Linked DNA regions of Struthio camelus. The protein of the gene in region 1 interacts with the protein of each later gene in a pairwise test. Links are inferred from orthologs where the notes say so. Each region holds a gene or a part of one and is shown in the gene's direction. Other genes may lie near its edges.

The links.
Region 2: the proteins of ZNRD2 (region 1) and CCT7 interact in binary tests that used the Homo sapiens proteins (3 or more experiments, as listed by UniProt). The two-hybrid records come from large-scale screens. The link is inferred for Struthio camelus from reciprocal best matches to the Homo sapiens genes ZNRD2 and CCT7.

Annotation. Positions count from the first base shown.
Region 1 is NC_090976.1:385,628-392,761, reverse strand, and holds the start of ZNRD2 (protein ZNRD2), read left to right. Parts: upstream 1-4,123; 5' UTR 4,124-4,190; coding exon 4,191-4,206; intron 4,207-4,906; coding exon 4,907-5,058; intron 5,059-5,559; coding exon 5,560-5,644; intron 5,645-6,947; coding exon 6,948-7,134. Other genes in the region: RNA-binding protein 4B, read left to right, coding at 1,011-1,702. UniProt on the Homo sapiens protein: Might play a role in mitosis. Antigenic molecule. Could be a centromere-associated protein. May induce anti-centromere antibodies.
Region 2 is NC_090945.1:85,476,974-85,484,980, reverse strand, and holds the start of CCT7 (T-complex protein 1 subunit eta), read left to right. Parts: upstream 1-4,992; 5' UTR 4,993-5,110; coding exon 5,111-5,116; intron 5,117-6,930; coding exon 6,931-7,084; intron 7,085-8,007. Other genes in the region: PRADC1 (protease-associated domain-containing protein 1), read right to left, coding at 487-607, 1,193-1,360, 1,765-1,874, 2,494-2,594, 4,703-4,757. UniProt on the Homo sapiens protein: Component of the chaperonin-containing T-complex (TRiC), a molecular chaperone complex that assists the folding of actin, tubulin and other proteins upon ATP hydrolysis.

The DNA of each region.
Region 1 (7,134 bases):
AACTCGCGCGAGCGAAGCAGAGCCCCGAGAGAAGTTGGGTCCGCGCAGTTCCTCACCTTGTTTTCCTCCTGGGGCAGAGCTGCCGTAAATGGCCTCTTGCCAGGGCTCCCCCGGCCATTCCTAGGCGCCCGCAGCTCCGGCTCTGCTCCGGGGCCTTCCTCGCAGCCTGCTCTCCCTCTTCCTCCCCCCCTCACCGCCCGCGGAGCCCGGCTGCCTATCTGCGTGGCCCCGACCCGGCACTGCGATCCGGGGCTGTGGTGGGAGGTGGCTGCGCTCCCCGGGGAGCTGAGAGGCTGCTGCGCAACGGCGCAGCTGGCAGCTCTTCCCTCTAAAGCCTTCCGCTTCCCCGGCTCGTGGCCATCCGCCGGGAGGCCGGGGATGGGCTCTCCCCATCGAGGTCAGGCGTGGGAAGCCCCGGGAAGCTGCTCTCAGCGTCCGAGCGAGGCAGATGAGCCCAGTCAGTCCCACAGCCCCCCCGCGGGATGTGGAACGGGTTGAGTTTATTCGCTCCCTTCCCAAGAGCCTTTTTCCGACGCTGTTTCCCAGGCCAGCCCGTCTCCAGGGGCCGAGCCCGGCTTCATGCCGCCTCCGGGTCCGGTTCCCTCTGGCTCCACGTCCCCTTGCGGGTCGCGAGCGGCGCGGGGTGTCCGAGCGCGCTGCCCGGCGCCACGCGGCTGCGTCCACGGGCGCAGAGGCGGGCGGTATCCAGAGCCTCCGTCCCTCGCGGGCGGTCCGGGGCCGCCCGGCTCCGCCGGGAGAGCGGTAACCGCCGGCGCAGGTTTGGGCCCGGATTCGGAGCAGGCGCGCGGCGGCGAGCCGGGTCCGGGATTGCCCGGGCCCTGGCGGCGCCGCACGGAGGAGCGGCGCGGGGCGGCCGCCGGTCGGGCTCCCCTCACCCGGGGCAGTAGGTTCAGACGTCTCGCTGGGTTCTTGCTCTTCTGTGAATCTCTTGGTTTCCCTATGTGGCCTCAGTTAATTATAGCAACCCTTCTTGCGTCTGTTTCTTAAAGGCAAGCGGATGCGCGTGCAGTTGTCCACGAGTCGGCTCAGGACCGCGCCCGGGATGGGAGACAAGAGCGGCTGCTACCGGTGCGGGAAGGAAGGGCACTGGTCTAAAGAGTGTCCGGTAGATCGCCCGGGGCAAGTGGCTGACTTTACCGAGGCCTATAATGAGCAGTACGGAGCGGTGCGCACTCCCTACCCCGCGGGCTATGGGGAGACCATGTATTACGATGACGGGTATGGCGGAATGGTCGACTACTACAAGCGCTACCGCGTGAGGTCCTATGCGACGGCCTCTGCATACGACGCCTATGCAGAGCAGACCATGGCCCAGTACTCGCAGTACGCGCAGTACTCCCAAGTGCAGTCCACGGCCATGGCCGCCACCACAGCCATGGCCAGTCGCATCCCCACCACCCTAGACGCGTACGATAGAGCTCTGCTGCCGACCCCGGGAGCGGCAGCCGCCGTGGCCGCCGCCGCCACCGCGGCCGCGGCGGCCGCCTCCTCCACCTATTACACCCGGGATAGAAGCCCCCTGCGCCGCACGGCAGCCGCGGCCACCACCGTCGGAGAGGCGTACACTTACGATCGTAGTCAGCTGTCGCCGGTCTCGTCGGTCGCTCGGGCCTCCCTCTACGACATGCAGCGGTTCGAGCGGGACCCGTACGCGGACAGGGCGCGGTACTCTGCGTTTTGAGTCGGAGGTGAGAGCGTTGTGGGTTGCAGGAGGCGCGCGGGCGCGCGCTGCGGGCGGTCGGGGCCGCCCCGGCGCCAGCTCGGGGGTCGCGCGTGCGAGCGCGCGAGGGGCCGCCGCTCACCCAGCTCCCAAAGCGAGCGGCGGCGGCGGCGGCAGGAGCCTGGCGACTCCCGGCCCATTCTCCGCGGCGTTCGCCGCCGCGCGGGGCCGAGCCCCGGCCGGGCGCTGGGGATGGGGGGTTTCTCGAGCCCGGCGGTCGCTCCCTGCCCTCCCGCCCCAGCTCCGCAGCTCAGCTAGAAACCGAGGCGGCGCGGCGGGGCCGGAGCAGCCTCCGCGCGGGGCGGCGCGGCCGGGGCGCCTTCCTGCGGCCGCTGCGGGGCCCGTCCCGGCTCCTCTTTGCGACGCCGCCCTCTCCCGAGGCCGCTGCGGCGCCGTAGCCCGACTCCCCGCCCCGAAACGGGCCGCCGCGCTCCCATCTGCCTCCCCGGCACGCCGGCTGGGCAACTCGGCCGCAGAGGGCACGTCCTCCTCCTCTTCCTCCTCCCCCCGACCCCGAGCCCCCCGGCTCTGCCGCTGCAACGCAGCAGCCCTCGCTGGAGCCTTACACCCGCTGCCGGTCTCTTCCTCCGTGCTGGAACAGCCGCGCTGCCTGCCCCGGCCCCACGCTCGGCCCCGTAGCCCGGTTGTAATAGGCCTTAATCTCCCAGGATGTGACCCCAAAGAGGAAGAAGCTTGGCAGGAAAATCCCTCCCCGAGGAAGCGGCTCTGGGCTTTCCCCGTACGCTAGGAATGGCAGAGACTTTTGCCGCGGCATTGGAGAGCGGCACCCAACGGCCCTCGGAGGCTTGGCGGAGCTCTCGTTCTGGTCCGTAGCCGCAGCGGACGGTGCAGCGTCAGGTTAGACGTGCCCCGGGCCGCCGCCGCCGCCGCGGGTCTCGCCTCGCACAGAAACAGCTCCTCTCCCTCGCCCCCCCCCCCCCCCAAAACCCCAAAACCTCGCGCTCGACCGCGGCGCGCGGCCCCCTCCGGCCCAGCGGGGAGCGGGGGGGGAAAAAGGCGGGCGCGAAGCCGGCGGCCAACGCCAGCCCCTGCGGCATGGCCCCCCCCCCCCAACCCCGGCGGTTGGGGGCTGAAAGCCCCCCCCCCCCCAACGCGCCCGTACGGCTCGGGGTCGAGCCGCCGCTGCCGCCCCGCAGGAACCAGGGCGGAGAGCGGCGCCCGGCTGGGGGGCTGTGGCCCCCCGCCCCCTTCCTCCTCCTCCTCCTCCTCCTCCTCCCCCCACCTCCTCCCGCCAGCCCCTGACCCTCTGCTGTGCTTTCTTCCAGGTCGCGTGCGCCGGGGCGGAAGCGTTCGGCCGGACCCCCCCGCACCCGCTCGCCCGCCCGCCCGCCCACCCGCCGCGGGCTCCGGGGCGCCGCCGCCCTGTGCTTTTTTTTTTGTTGTTTGTTTTTTACGGAGGTTCCCGCGTCTCGGTCCCGCTGCGGCACCCCCCCCCCCCAAATCTCTTCCCCCAGCCCCTAATTTAACTCCCACCCCGGCGCCCCGCCGGCCCCGCCGCGGGCTCGCTGTCTTCCAGGTAACTCGCCCCCGCGGGGCTGTCTGCCGCCGCTGCCCCCCCCCATCCAACCCCCCCCCGTAGATGCTGTGTCCTTTACAGCCTCCCCCCCCCCCCCAGCTTCCCCCCCCCACCCCTTCGGCTTTTCCAGCAAAAATAAAACGTTTCCCACGGACGCGCTTGGTCCCCTCTTGCTTGGTGGGGAGGGGGTGTTTGGGGGGGGGGAACCCCTCTGTGCCTGGGTGCTGGGGGGGCAATAAGGGGAGGGGATCGGTGGGTCTTGGGGGGGGCTCTCCTAGATGCCTCAGTCCCCTGGGAGGGGCTGTTAGGTGAAGGGGGAGGGTCCTGGCTGCTGGAGTATTTGGGGAGAGGGGGCTCCTAGCTGCCTAGGTCCCCTGAGAGGGGTAGTGAGGGGGGGCCTGGATGCTGGGGTTTTTTGGGGGGGAGAGGGGGGCTCCTAGCTGCCTAGGTCCCCTGAGAGGGGTAGTGGGGGGGGGCCTGGATGCTGGGGTATTTGGGGGGGGGGCTCCTAGCTGCCTAGGTCCCCTGAGAGGGGTAGTGAGGGGGGGGCTGGATGCTGGGGTATTTGGGGGGGGGGCTCCTAACTGCCTAGGTCCCCTGAGAGGGGTAGTGAGGGGGGGGCTGGATGCTGGGGTATTTGGGGGGGGGGCTCTCCTAGCTGCCTTGGTCCCCTGGGAGGGCTAGTGGGGGGGCTCTCCTGGATGCCTGTGTCCCCTGAGAGGGGGTTTGGGGGGGGTCTTAGCTCCCAGCAGCACCGGTTACTTCTCCTCTTGCGGGGGGGGGGGGGGGAACGGACCGGACGTCTCGGTCCCCCGGGGCCGGGGGGAACCATTTCACGACCGGACCTGCCCGCCGGGGCCGCTTTCCCGGCCGGACCCGTGCGGTGACGTCACTTCCGGCGGGGAGCGGAACATGGCGCTGAACGCGGGTGCGGGCGGCGGCGGCGGGCCCCCCCCCCCCCCCCGGGCCCCTAGAGCGGCCGTGGAGCCCCCGCGGGTGCCCGTGTCCCTCCCCCCGGGGCCCGTGGGGCCCCCTCACAGCCAGCCCCTGCCGGGACGGGGGTCTCCCAGCGCCTCGGCGCCCCCGCCGTGACCGTGGCGCCCCCCCCGCGTGACCGTCCGCGCCATTAAAGCGTCCCCATCCCCCCGCGACCGCATCCCCCGTGACCAGACCCCCCTCGTGGCCGTGTCCCCCCCCGCAACGGTCCCTCCTCGCCCCCACCCGTGGCCGCCTGCCCCCATGGCCACGTCCCACGCGTGACCGCGTCCCTGTGTGCCCCGGTGACCGTGTTCCCCCCGACGGTGTCCCCGTGCCCCCCGTGACCGCGCCCTGCCTTTGACCGTGTCCCCACGGCCCCCTGCGTCCTCACCACCACCCGTGATTGCATCCCTCGTGACCAGACCCCCAGTGGTCGTGTCCCCCCCAACGGTCCCTCTTCACCCCCCCGTGGCCGCGTCCCACTCGTGATCGCCTCCCAGTGTCCCCCGGTGACTGTGCTCCCCCCCATGGTGTCCCCGTGCCCCCCATGACTGTGTCCCACCTGTGACTGCGCCCCCGCGTCCAGCCCCCCCACCCGCAACCGCGTCCCCCGTGACAGCGTTCCCCCCCCCGTGGCCGTGTCCCCACAGGGGCGTCGGAGCCCGAGTGGGAGCCGCCGCCGGAGGCCGAGCGGAAGGTGCTGGCGGCGCGGCGGGAGCGGCAGGAGCGCATCAGCCACGCCATGGGGGAGTACCTGCTGCGGGGGTACCGCATGCTGGGGCAGTGCTGCCCGGACTGCGGGGTACGGGGGGGCCGGGGGGGGCACCGGGGGTGTGGGGGGGCACTGAGGGGTCCGGGGGGGCACCAGGGGGGTCACACACACTCCCCGCTGCCCCCCGGCCCGTCCTGCTGTGGGGGTACTGCATGCTGGGGCAGTGCTGCCCGGACTGCGGGGTACGGGGGGGGCCGGGGGGGGCACCGGGGGGGGTCACACACACTCCTCGCTGCCCCCCGGCCCATCCTGCTGTGGGGGTACTGCATGCTGGGGCAGTGCTGCCCGGACTGTGGGGTCTGGGGGGGGCACCGGGGGGTCCGGGGGGGGCACTGAGGGGTCCGGGGGGGCACCGGGGGGGTCACACACGCTCCCTGCTGCCCCCCGGCCCGTCCTGCCTTGGGGGTACCGCATGCTGGGGCAGTGCTGCCCGGACTGCGGGGTACGGGGAGCACCGAGGGGTCCGGGGGGGACACCAGGGGGGCTGGGGGGGCACCGGGGGGCCCGCATGCACTCACCCCCCCCCCCCAGACCATCCTGCTGCAGAACAAGCAGCAGCAGCTCTACTGCGTGGCCTGCCAGGAGCTGGACTCCGACGTGGACAAGGACGACCCCGGTACGGACGGGGACGGGGGTCCGGGGCTGGGGACGGGAATTGGGGACTGGGGACAGGGGTCTGGGACCGGGGAGGGGGGCAGGAAGTGGGGGCTGGGGGTCTAGGACTGGGGTTGGGGACTGGGGATAGGAATTGGGGACGGGGATCCAGGGATGGGAACCGGGACGGGAGTCTGGAGGTGGGGGCTGGGGACGGGAATTGGGGAGAGGAGATGGGAATTGGGGAGAGGGGAGAGGAATTGGGGAAAGGGGATGGAGGTTTAGGGCTAGGGGCTGGAGATGGGAACTGGGGAGAGGAATTGGGGAGAGGGGATGGGGGCTTAGGGCTGGGGGGGGCTGGGGACTGGATTTGGGGTTGGGGACAAGAACTGGGGAAGGGGCCGGAGGTCTGGGGATGGGGAAGGGGGGCAGGACTTGGGGCCAGGGCTGCACTTGGGGACGGGAATTGGCGACTGGGATGTGGGAACGGGGCCGGGGGAATCCAGAGGGGTTGGGGGGGATCCGGAGGGCTTGGGGGGAATCTGGAGGGGTTGGAGGGGATCCAGAGGGCTTGGGGGGGATCCGGAGGGGTTGAGGGGAATCCGGAGGGGTTGGGGGGGAATCCAGAGGGCTTGGGGGGAATCCGGAGGGGTTGGAGAGGAATCCGGAGGGCTTGGGGGGGATCCGGAGGGGTTGGGGGGGAATCCGGAGGGGTTGAGGGGAATCCGGAGGGGTTGGAGAGGAATCCAGAGGCCTTGGGGGGGATCCGGAGGGGTTGGAGGGGAATCTGGAGGGCTTGGGGGGGATCCGGAGGGGTTGGGGGGAATCCGGAGGGGTTGGAGAGGAATCCGGAGGGGTTGGGGGGGATCCGGAGGGGTTGGAGGGGAATCTGGAGGGCTTGGGGGGGATCCGGAGGGGTTGGGGGGAATCCGGAGGGGTTGGAGAGGAATCCGGAGGGCTTGGGGGGGATCCGGAGGGGTTGGAGGGGAATCCGGAGGGCTTGGGGGGGATCTGGAGGGGTTGAGGGGGATCCGGAGGGGTTGGGGGGGGATCCGGAGGGGTTGGGGGGGATCCGGAGGGGTTGGAGGGGAATCCGGAGGGGTTGGGGGGAATCCGGAGGGGTTGGAGGGGAATCCGGAGGGGTTGAGGGGGAATCCAGAGGGGTTGAGGGGGATCCGGAGGGCTTGGGGGGGATCTGGAGGGGTTGAGGGGGATCCGGAGGGGTTGGAGGGGATCCGGAGGGGTTGGAGGGGAATCTGGAGGCCTTGGGGGGGATGCGGAGGGGTTGAGGGGGATCCGGCCCCGCTGACGCCGGCACCCCGCAGCGCTCAACGCCCAGGCCGCCCTCTCGCAGGCCCGCGAGCACCGGCGGGCCGGGGCGGCCCCGGGACCCCCGGCGGCGGGGCCGGCGGCGCGGCGGCCCGAGCGCTGCGAGGGGGCGGCCCCCCCCGAGGCGGCGGCGGCGCCGGGGGCCGAGGTGGCGGCGGCGCCGGGGGCCGAGGCGGCGGGGGC
Region 2 (8,007 bases), on another chromosome or scaffold:
AATTCCCTTTTCTCTAAAACCTCTTTAGACTTTGTTAGCTCAGACAAAAATATACAGACGCTGGGCAAGCCCTGCTAGTACAGACTGACCCCATAACTAGCTCTCCCTCCCATCCCCGTTAGACTGTGTCCACATAATACTGCATCGCTCTAAATTGACAGCACAAACTACTGCTGGCATCGTATGCATCACAAAAATGTTTCTCGGGGAAGTGCTGGCCTGATTCTCTGCTCTGGGCCATCACCTCCCTCCCAGAAAGTCACTACAAAGGTTGTTCGATGCCACCGTCCAGGTCCCGCTGCGGGCGCTGACATTTGCCATTTGGCCAGACACCAGCGGCAGCGTGAAGATCTGCCCGCTGCTGGATCCGGCGAGGCTGGCGGCAGGATTTTTGGGAGCGCATGGGGCTCTTTCCTCAAAACCGGTCCCTGGGGCGAGCTCCTGGGATCCACCGAGAAGTCCGCGATGCTCCGTGGCCTCCCGCTGCTACCAGAAGGTCCAGGGGGGCTGCATCATTTCATACGTCGGGATGCTGGTGACGTTGACGGGGATGGAGATGACAGCCCATGGGAGCCCATGCTGTTCCAGGGAGCGCCGGATCATGTACCTGGAAGGACAGAGAGGTGACAGGCGCATGTGAGCCCCTGAGCTGGGAGAGCAGAGCCTGAACGTTATGGGTTAACGCAAGCTGCCAATAAACTCGAGGAGAAACTCCGTGGATTAAGCATGACTGAATCCATGGAAAATCTGGCTCACAAAGCCCAGACAGGACACACGGCTCACTGGGACCCCTCTGGTTCATGGGGACAAGGCTGTCACTTGGCCCTTCCCACGAGATGCTCTACACTTGGGAAGATCAGAGCATTGGGTGACCAGAACTGGATCTCAAAAGGCAAGGCTGTCTCTTGGAAAGGCTGATGTACACCAGGAAAACGCTGCACAGCGTCCGGGGTGGCACGGAGACCTGCCGGTCGCAGGTAGGCCATCCAAACCAGATCTGCTCTCAGAACCAGCCTCATGCCAGCCCAGATGCCTCCAGCCTCCTAAGAGAGCTGTGGCACGCACGGAGCTAACGCAGCTACCTGGACACCGCAGCAGGTTCGCGGCCGGCCGGCTAAAACCCGCTGAACCCACGTGCGCCTACCTCCGCAGCGCCGTGCCCGAAGACACGTCCCTCGGCCACGATACCCACCCGTCCCTGCCCAGCAGGAAGAGCGCGGGGATGTCCGCTGTGCGCCTGGTGCTGTCCTGGATCATTTCGATATAGAAGCTGTCGTTATCGTAGGCGTTATCGGCGATAATCACCGCCCGTCCTCCGTGCTCCTGGATCACGCGCGTCTTCGACAGGAACGAGCAGCCCCTGGGGCACAGAGCCACAAACGTTGTCTACAGACGTGGGAGCCGGGCACCTCTCAGACAGCAAGTGCCGGAGCTTGCCCGGAGACGCCCAAGACGCGGGCTGGCTCCCCGGCACCGCGCGTCCCCCAAGCCCTTTTCATCCTTGAGACCGGATTTTAGCAACAGGACTGCCCAAACTGTGCTGGTGGGCTGCTTTCTCCCCCAAAATAAGGCTTTTTCCAGCTTGGCGTAGGCTCTTTTCCAAAAGACTGTCGGGACAGCTTTGCAACCCGGGGAAGCAGCTGGAGGCGACGGTAAAACGTGGCTGCTAACACAACCGTGGCACCGTCACCCTCCGTGCCGCAGGCAGCCCCCTCCTGCCCTGGGTGCCCCCCACCCAAAGAGGTCCCGCGGCGCCGGACCTACCCCCGCTCCACCAAGGCGATCTGGTCTTGGATGAAGACCCCATTATTCAGCTCCCCACAGGCTTCGGGCGGATCCGCCGGGACCAGGTGGATCTGGTCGTACCTTGTGTTCTCCGAGGAAGAGACAGGCAGGGGTGAGCGAGGAGGCCGGCGGCACGGCGCCGGGGCTGCTTCCCATCGCGAGCCCCGCGGCGCCTGTCCTCGGGGCCCCCGGGGAGCTGCTGTTCCCGTCCCCGCGCGGGATGTGCCGTGGGACCCCGCAGAGCCACCCGAGGGGAACCCGCAGACCTCGCTCAATAGCTCGCCCCCATCACCGTGGGGAGGGGAAACTGCGGCACGGCACCATCCGGTGAGTTGTGCGAGGCAGGGAACGGCGATAGAGGCTCTCGATGCCCAGCCCCGGGCTTTGCCCCGGATTGGGGCAGCCCCTTGGCAGGAGACGGGGAGCCCTTAGGGCTCCGGGAGCGCACGCGTGTGCGGACACGCATCCGTACGTACGAACGCTCCCAGGGAACGCGTGCGGAGGCAGAAACGCGTTCGCATGGCCCAGATCGAACGGGAGCACCTCTAACGGCAGAGACGGGCGCGTGCCTCCTGCCTAGGGCAAAGCTCTCGGAGGAAGCCCGTGCAATCAGCTCCACTTCGGTAAAGGGCTTCACATCAGCCAGCCCCGCAGCGCAGAAATGTAGGGACGGGGGGGCTCCGAGACAAATCCGGTCCTTATACTTACAAACACTCCCCCAAAATCCTTGGCCGGAGTGGCAGTGAAGATGTAGCGGATGTCTCCGGGACTCAGCACTTGGAAATACAAGTATTCATGGATGCGTAAACCTGCGCGTGCACGGAGAGAGATGAGAGGCAAAGAAACGGCAACGGCAAACTCCTCCCGTGAGATTTCAAGCCGAACGCGCAGTCACAGCCTTGAGATGTGGTTCATCCCGGGGACCCTCTTTTTTTAACCCATTTTCACACCGGTTTGCAGGCCCGGAGATGCAGCGCCGGGGAAGGACCCTTGGCACCAGGGCTGCAGCTGCTGCACAACCAGCGCTTGCGAACTGCAGAAGGCCCTGAGTGCCGCGGGGAACCGAAATTGTTTCGGGAGTTCCCGGCACGCTTTCATCCAGGCACCCGGCTCAACGCCCACTGCTGCGGGTCGAGCGCGACACGAGACCTCCCTCTGCAGCCTTGCGTAACGCCGGCTGCGTGCCGGGCTCCACGGCGGGAGGAGGACCCGAACCACTGCTGTCGGAGCTGGGTGCGTCGTGCCGGGGCCTTTTCCCATCTTAAACCACTGCTTGGTCCCGACACCCAGCGCCCTGGGCCTCTCTCACGTGGGGTTTCCCCCTTCTGTAAACCGCCGGCAATTCAGACAGCTCCCTGCCTCAATTTCCCTCTATAAGGAAAGAAGATTTTATGTGATAAAAAAATGCAAAGCCTCGCCGCGCAGGCGGATAGCTCGGCCGATGGCCCACGACCTCCTGCGCTGTTTGGGCAGCCGATGCACAAGAAATGAGACATTCGGGCAGGATGCAAAGTCGGGGCCAGGCAGCGAATGCTTTAGGGCCAGCAGCCCCTCGGGGCCGTGCGAACACCTGCAAAGGGCGCTGGGGCGTTGCTGGCGGAGGGCAGAGCGAGGGGACTCTGCTGCCTCCCCGCAGCCTCTTACCCCGGAGCCAGCTGCCTTCCTGCCTCCAGCGGCTCTGTCCTGAGCATGCAAGGAAAAGCATCCGGGTTGGGGTGCCCCAAGGGAAAATATACCGGATCGAGGTGCTGGGAGGAGAAACGGAGTGCACAGAGGAGACGGGGGAAATGCATGCAGACTGGGGTGCACAAAAAGGGGAAATGAACCCGGATCTCCTAGGGGACAGGAGTGAAGTGCATTTGATCACGGCGCTGGGTAGGTGAAATGCACCCGGACCCAAGTGCCTCAAGGGCAAATGCACCCAGTGTGGGATGTCCCAAGGATAAATGCACCTGGATCGGGGTGCACGGAGGGGAAAGGGAGAAAATGCACTCGGATCATGGAGGGGCTAGGGGTGAAATGCACCTGGACTGGGGAGAACAGAGGGGAAATGCACCCGGATCGAGGTGTCAGGAGGAGAAATGCACCTGAACCTGGGTGCATGGAGGGGAAATGCACCCAGACTGGGATGCATGGAATGGAAATGCATCCAAATTAGGATGCCTCAAGGGAAGATGGACCTGGATCGAGTTGTCAGGAGGGGAAAATGCATCCGGACTTGGATGCATGGAGGGGAAATGCCCCCGGAAGGAGGTGCCAGGAGGAGAAATGCACGGAGACAGGGACGCACAGTGGGGAAATGCATCCAGTTCAGGATGCCCAAGGGGAAATGCACCCGGATCGAAGTGCATCAAGAAGAAATGCACCCGGATCGAAGTGCATCAAGAGGAAATGCACCCGGATCGAGATGCATGGAGGGGAAATGCACCTAGATTGGGGTGTTCCAGGGGGAAATGCACCCAGATCGAAGGTGCTGGGAAGGGAAATGCACCCAGACCGGGATGCACGGAGGGAAAATGCACCCAGATTGGGATGCACAAGGGGAAAGGCACCCAGACCGGGATGCACGGAGAGGAAATGCACCCAGATTGGGATGCACAAGGGGAAAGGCACCCAGACCGGGATGCACGGAGGGGAAATGCACCCAGATTGGGATGCACAAGGGGAAATGCACCCAGACCGGGATGCACGGAGAGGAAATGCACCCAGATTGGGATGCACAAGGGGAAATGCACCCAGACCGGGATGCACGGAGAGGAAATGCACCCAGATTGGGATGCACAAGGGGAAAGGCACCCAGACCGGGATGCACGGAGGGGAAAGGCACCCGGATAAGGGTGCCCGAGAGGGAAATGCACCCGGGCGCAGGGCAGGCGGACGGGCGGCGCGGGGGGAAGCGACCGCGGGCCGGACTCACCGCGGGCCGGGCAGGAGCAGAGGCAGAGGCAGAGCCAGAGCGAGCGGCGGAGCATGGCTGCGCCCCGCGCCGCGCCGCGCCGCTCCCCCGCCCCCGCCTCCGCGCCGCGCCCATTGGCGGCGCCCCCCCGCGCCGCGCGCGCCCATTGGCCAACGCCGCCGTCAATCCCGCCCCTGCCATCTAGTGAGCTGCGGGCCGCCGCGCCGCCGCACGTTGCTGCCTCTCTATGGTTTCTCGCGAAGGAAGGGAGCCTCGCTCGGGCGGCTCTGTCTACGGCCTCACCATGGAGTGCGGCCGGAAGCGGTTACCTAGCAACGCTCTCTTCCCCTCCCGCCCTCGGGAAGCTTCTGGGCGGGCGCGGGGCATTGTGGGAGCAGGGCCTGGCTGCGCCGGGGGAGAGCCGCCGAGATGATGGTGAGTGGCGCCCGCCTCATCCGCCGCCATCCTCTGCCTGGCAGCGGCCTCCTCCGCCCCCGGGGGCCGTTGCTGGCGGGGGTTAGTAACGGGGCCGGCGCGGGTTCAGCCCCCGGTGAGGGCGGCCCCGCCGCTGTCTTGTGAGGGGACCAGCCGGGCCCGTGAGTGGCCCGCGGTTGCCGCCGGGCTGCCGCGGGACTACCGCTCCCATCAGGCTTTGCGCGGCGAGCGCCGCGGCTGAAAGGGAGCGGGGCGCGCGGGGCAGGCCGGGAGCTGTAGTCTGTCGGCGCGTGTACAAGGGTGGTGTCCCGGCCCTGGGGCCCGGAGCCGAGCCCACCGGGCTGGGGTCGGGGCTCAGAGCGGCCCATGCTGGGAGTTGTAGGCCGGAGCGGGCGGTACGTGGCGCCCCGGGGCCTCAAGTCGGGGCCTGAGCTCGGCAGCCCGCTTCGGGGCGTGGAGGGACCCGGTGCTGCCCCGGTCCGTGCTGAGTCCTGCCTGTGCCCTGCCGGTGCTGCTCCACGAGGGTTGCGTGTCTGCCTCTAACCTGATTTTCCCTAGGATGCAATCGACTCTGTTCCCTTTAGATTTCTGTTCGGGAGCTTGCCAAGGCTTAGGTAGCTCTGGCTGCGGTGCTCGCGCCCGTCTTCCGCTCGCCCGTCAGGCCCTCGGCTCCGGTCTTGTTGCTCTTTAGCACAACGGTCATCGTACGGTTTTGCTCTCTGCTGCAGATGGCTCTTTAAAACTGAGCGCCGAAGAAGCTTCTGGTTCGTGTGGATTTTGAGCTTTGTCTTTAAGGCACGTTTAGTCCGTTTCCTAGAAATCCTGAAAAGGGCTGCTGCGCTCTTGGAGCACAGCAAAGAGCTGTTTGCCGTGGCCTTTGAAATCTTGTAGGCTTTGCTTGTATTTCTAAGCTGTGTCCAGTTCAGTTTACTGTCAGGCAGGTGCAGTCACTTGTGTTCATCCCCCCTGTTTCCTCTGCGAGCAGGGAGGTGCGTTGCAGCAGTTGCCATCCTTGGGGTAGCTTGGACTGTGATCTGAGAGCTCTTGCGCCTGTTGTGCTGTACATCTTAGGAGACTTAAGTAACTCATCTGGGTTGTAGCTTGTGCAGTTCCCTGCTGCCTCAGTAATTATTACACATACTGTCTCTTATGGTGTAGAGATCAAGCGTAGCACAGAAATTAGACCTTCTCTGAGCTATATGATGGGGAAAGAAGCCCGCTTGTTTTGTGGACAGTTACAATACAGTCCAAGGGCATACAAACAGAAGCAGTTGGGTAGATTCCAGTTACTTTATAGAAGCAAGTGACACCTTGCCTTGGAGCGGTTTGACTGCATCCGTAATGCTTTCTAGGTAAAGTTGAACCTTCAGCCTTTCATGGAAAAGTGCTCTAGTACATTTCTTTGAAGCTACAGGAGTTCAGTCAAGATAAAACTTCAAACAAACACGGAATGCTTGAGAACGTGGAAGTAAACTTTTAGAGGAATTGCTTTGTGTAACAGTGGCAGTTTGTGGCCTTCTCTCTCTCAGGTTTTTTTGTAGTCACAGTCTTACTTTGAAGCTCTAGGCGGGTCAATAAGCTCAGTAAAGCAAGATGCTTAGGGATTGGGATTTTTTTTGTTTTATTTTTGCCACCAGGCCTTTGAGGGAACTGCAGTTTTTGGTCTTGGGAGTGAGAGAGCTGTTGTGCAGCTAGTTTCTTGCATAGGGGAAAAATACCTTTTTGAGCAGCGATAACTTGCTGGGCTGCCTGCAGAGTTAGCACTGGGCTGTCTGAGATTGGAGTTACAGCTCTGCTGTGGTTTGTCTCTTCAGCCAACACCCGTTATCCTGCTGAAGGAGGGCACGGACACCTCACAGGGGATCCCCCAGCTCGTCAGTAACATCAATGCCTGCCAGGTTATCGCAGAAGCTGTGCGCACTACCCTAGGACCCAGGGGCATGGACAAGCTCATTGTGGATGACAGAGGTAAGCGCTGGGTGACAGCTTTTCACGGCTATGTAGAAACGTGACTCGGAAATAATCTCCAAGTGTAACGCACACTGCTGGCACGTGTTTTTTTGCAGCCAGGGGCTAGAGCATGCAGAATGCAAACAAACGGACTTGGATGTTGTACTGTTCATGGGAATTCTGCAGTGAAATTTGATTCATACCTTCATATTAATTAAAACAGTATTTGCATATATACAGACTTCAGCTTCGTTGCCGCTTGCTATTCTCAACTCTCATAATACAGAGGTTCAGTTTCTGCATCAATGTTCAGTTTGAAACCTAGATCCCAGCCGCAGCTGGTGAAGAAAAATAATTGACAGATTTACTTGAGGAAACTACCTGGTAGTTACCTACTAGACTGAGTTAAGGTAGCTGAATTCTTTCTTGTGGTACTAGATAGATCTAGGGTTAGCATGACTAGACGGGCAGAAGTCCATGCCAGAAAGGAGGAATGGTGTGTTTTGAAGCTAGTCTTTGGGTACCCCTGACCCTCTCTTTCTAGGTTTGTTTTAAGATGAGGCTCGTGACACATGTAGAGTTACTCAGCTCTTGGTATGACTGAGTGTGGGGTGGATGGGGGTTACTAGGGTTGATGTTTGGGTGAATTGGGGATGGCTCCCAGCCCCCTCTGAGAAGAATTGTGTTAAGTTGCCACGCTAATCTATTCCTTGCACTTTTTTTTATTCTTGTGTGAATTGTCCTTGTATTACAGGTCCTATCTGTAAAAGCAGTTATTTGTTTTAAAAAGGATCACTGAAGTTTTATTTTAGCTTAATAACTAATTCTGTTGATTTCTAGCACTTTTCAGTCATGTGTCAGACTAGAATATCTGAGAGAGATGTGTATATATATACATATAATTTTTAATCTGCATGGGGAGGCTATTGAGAAATGAGAGG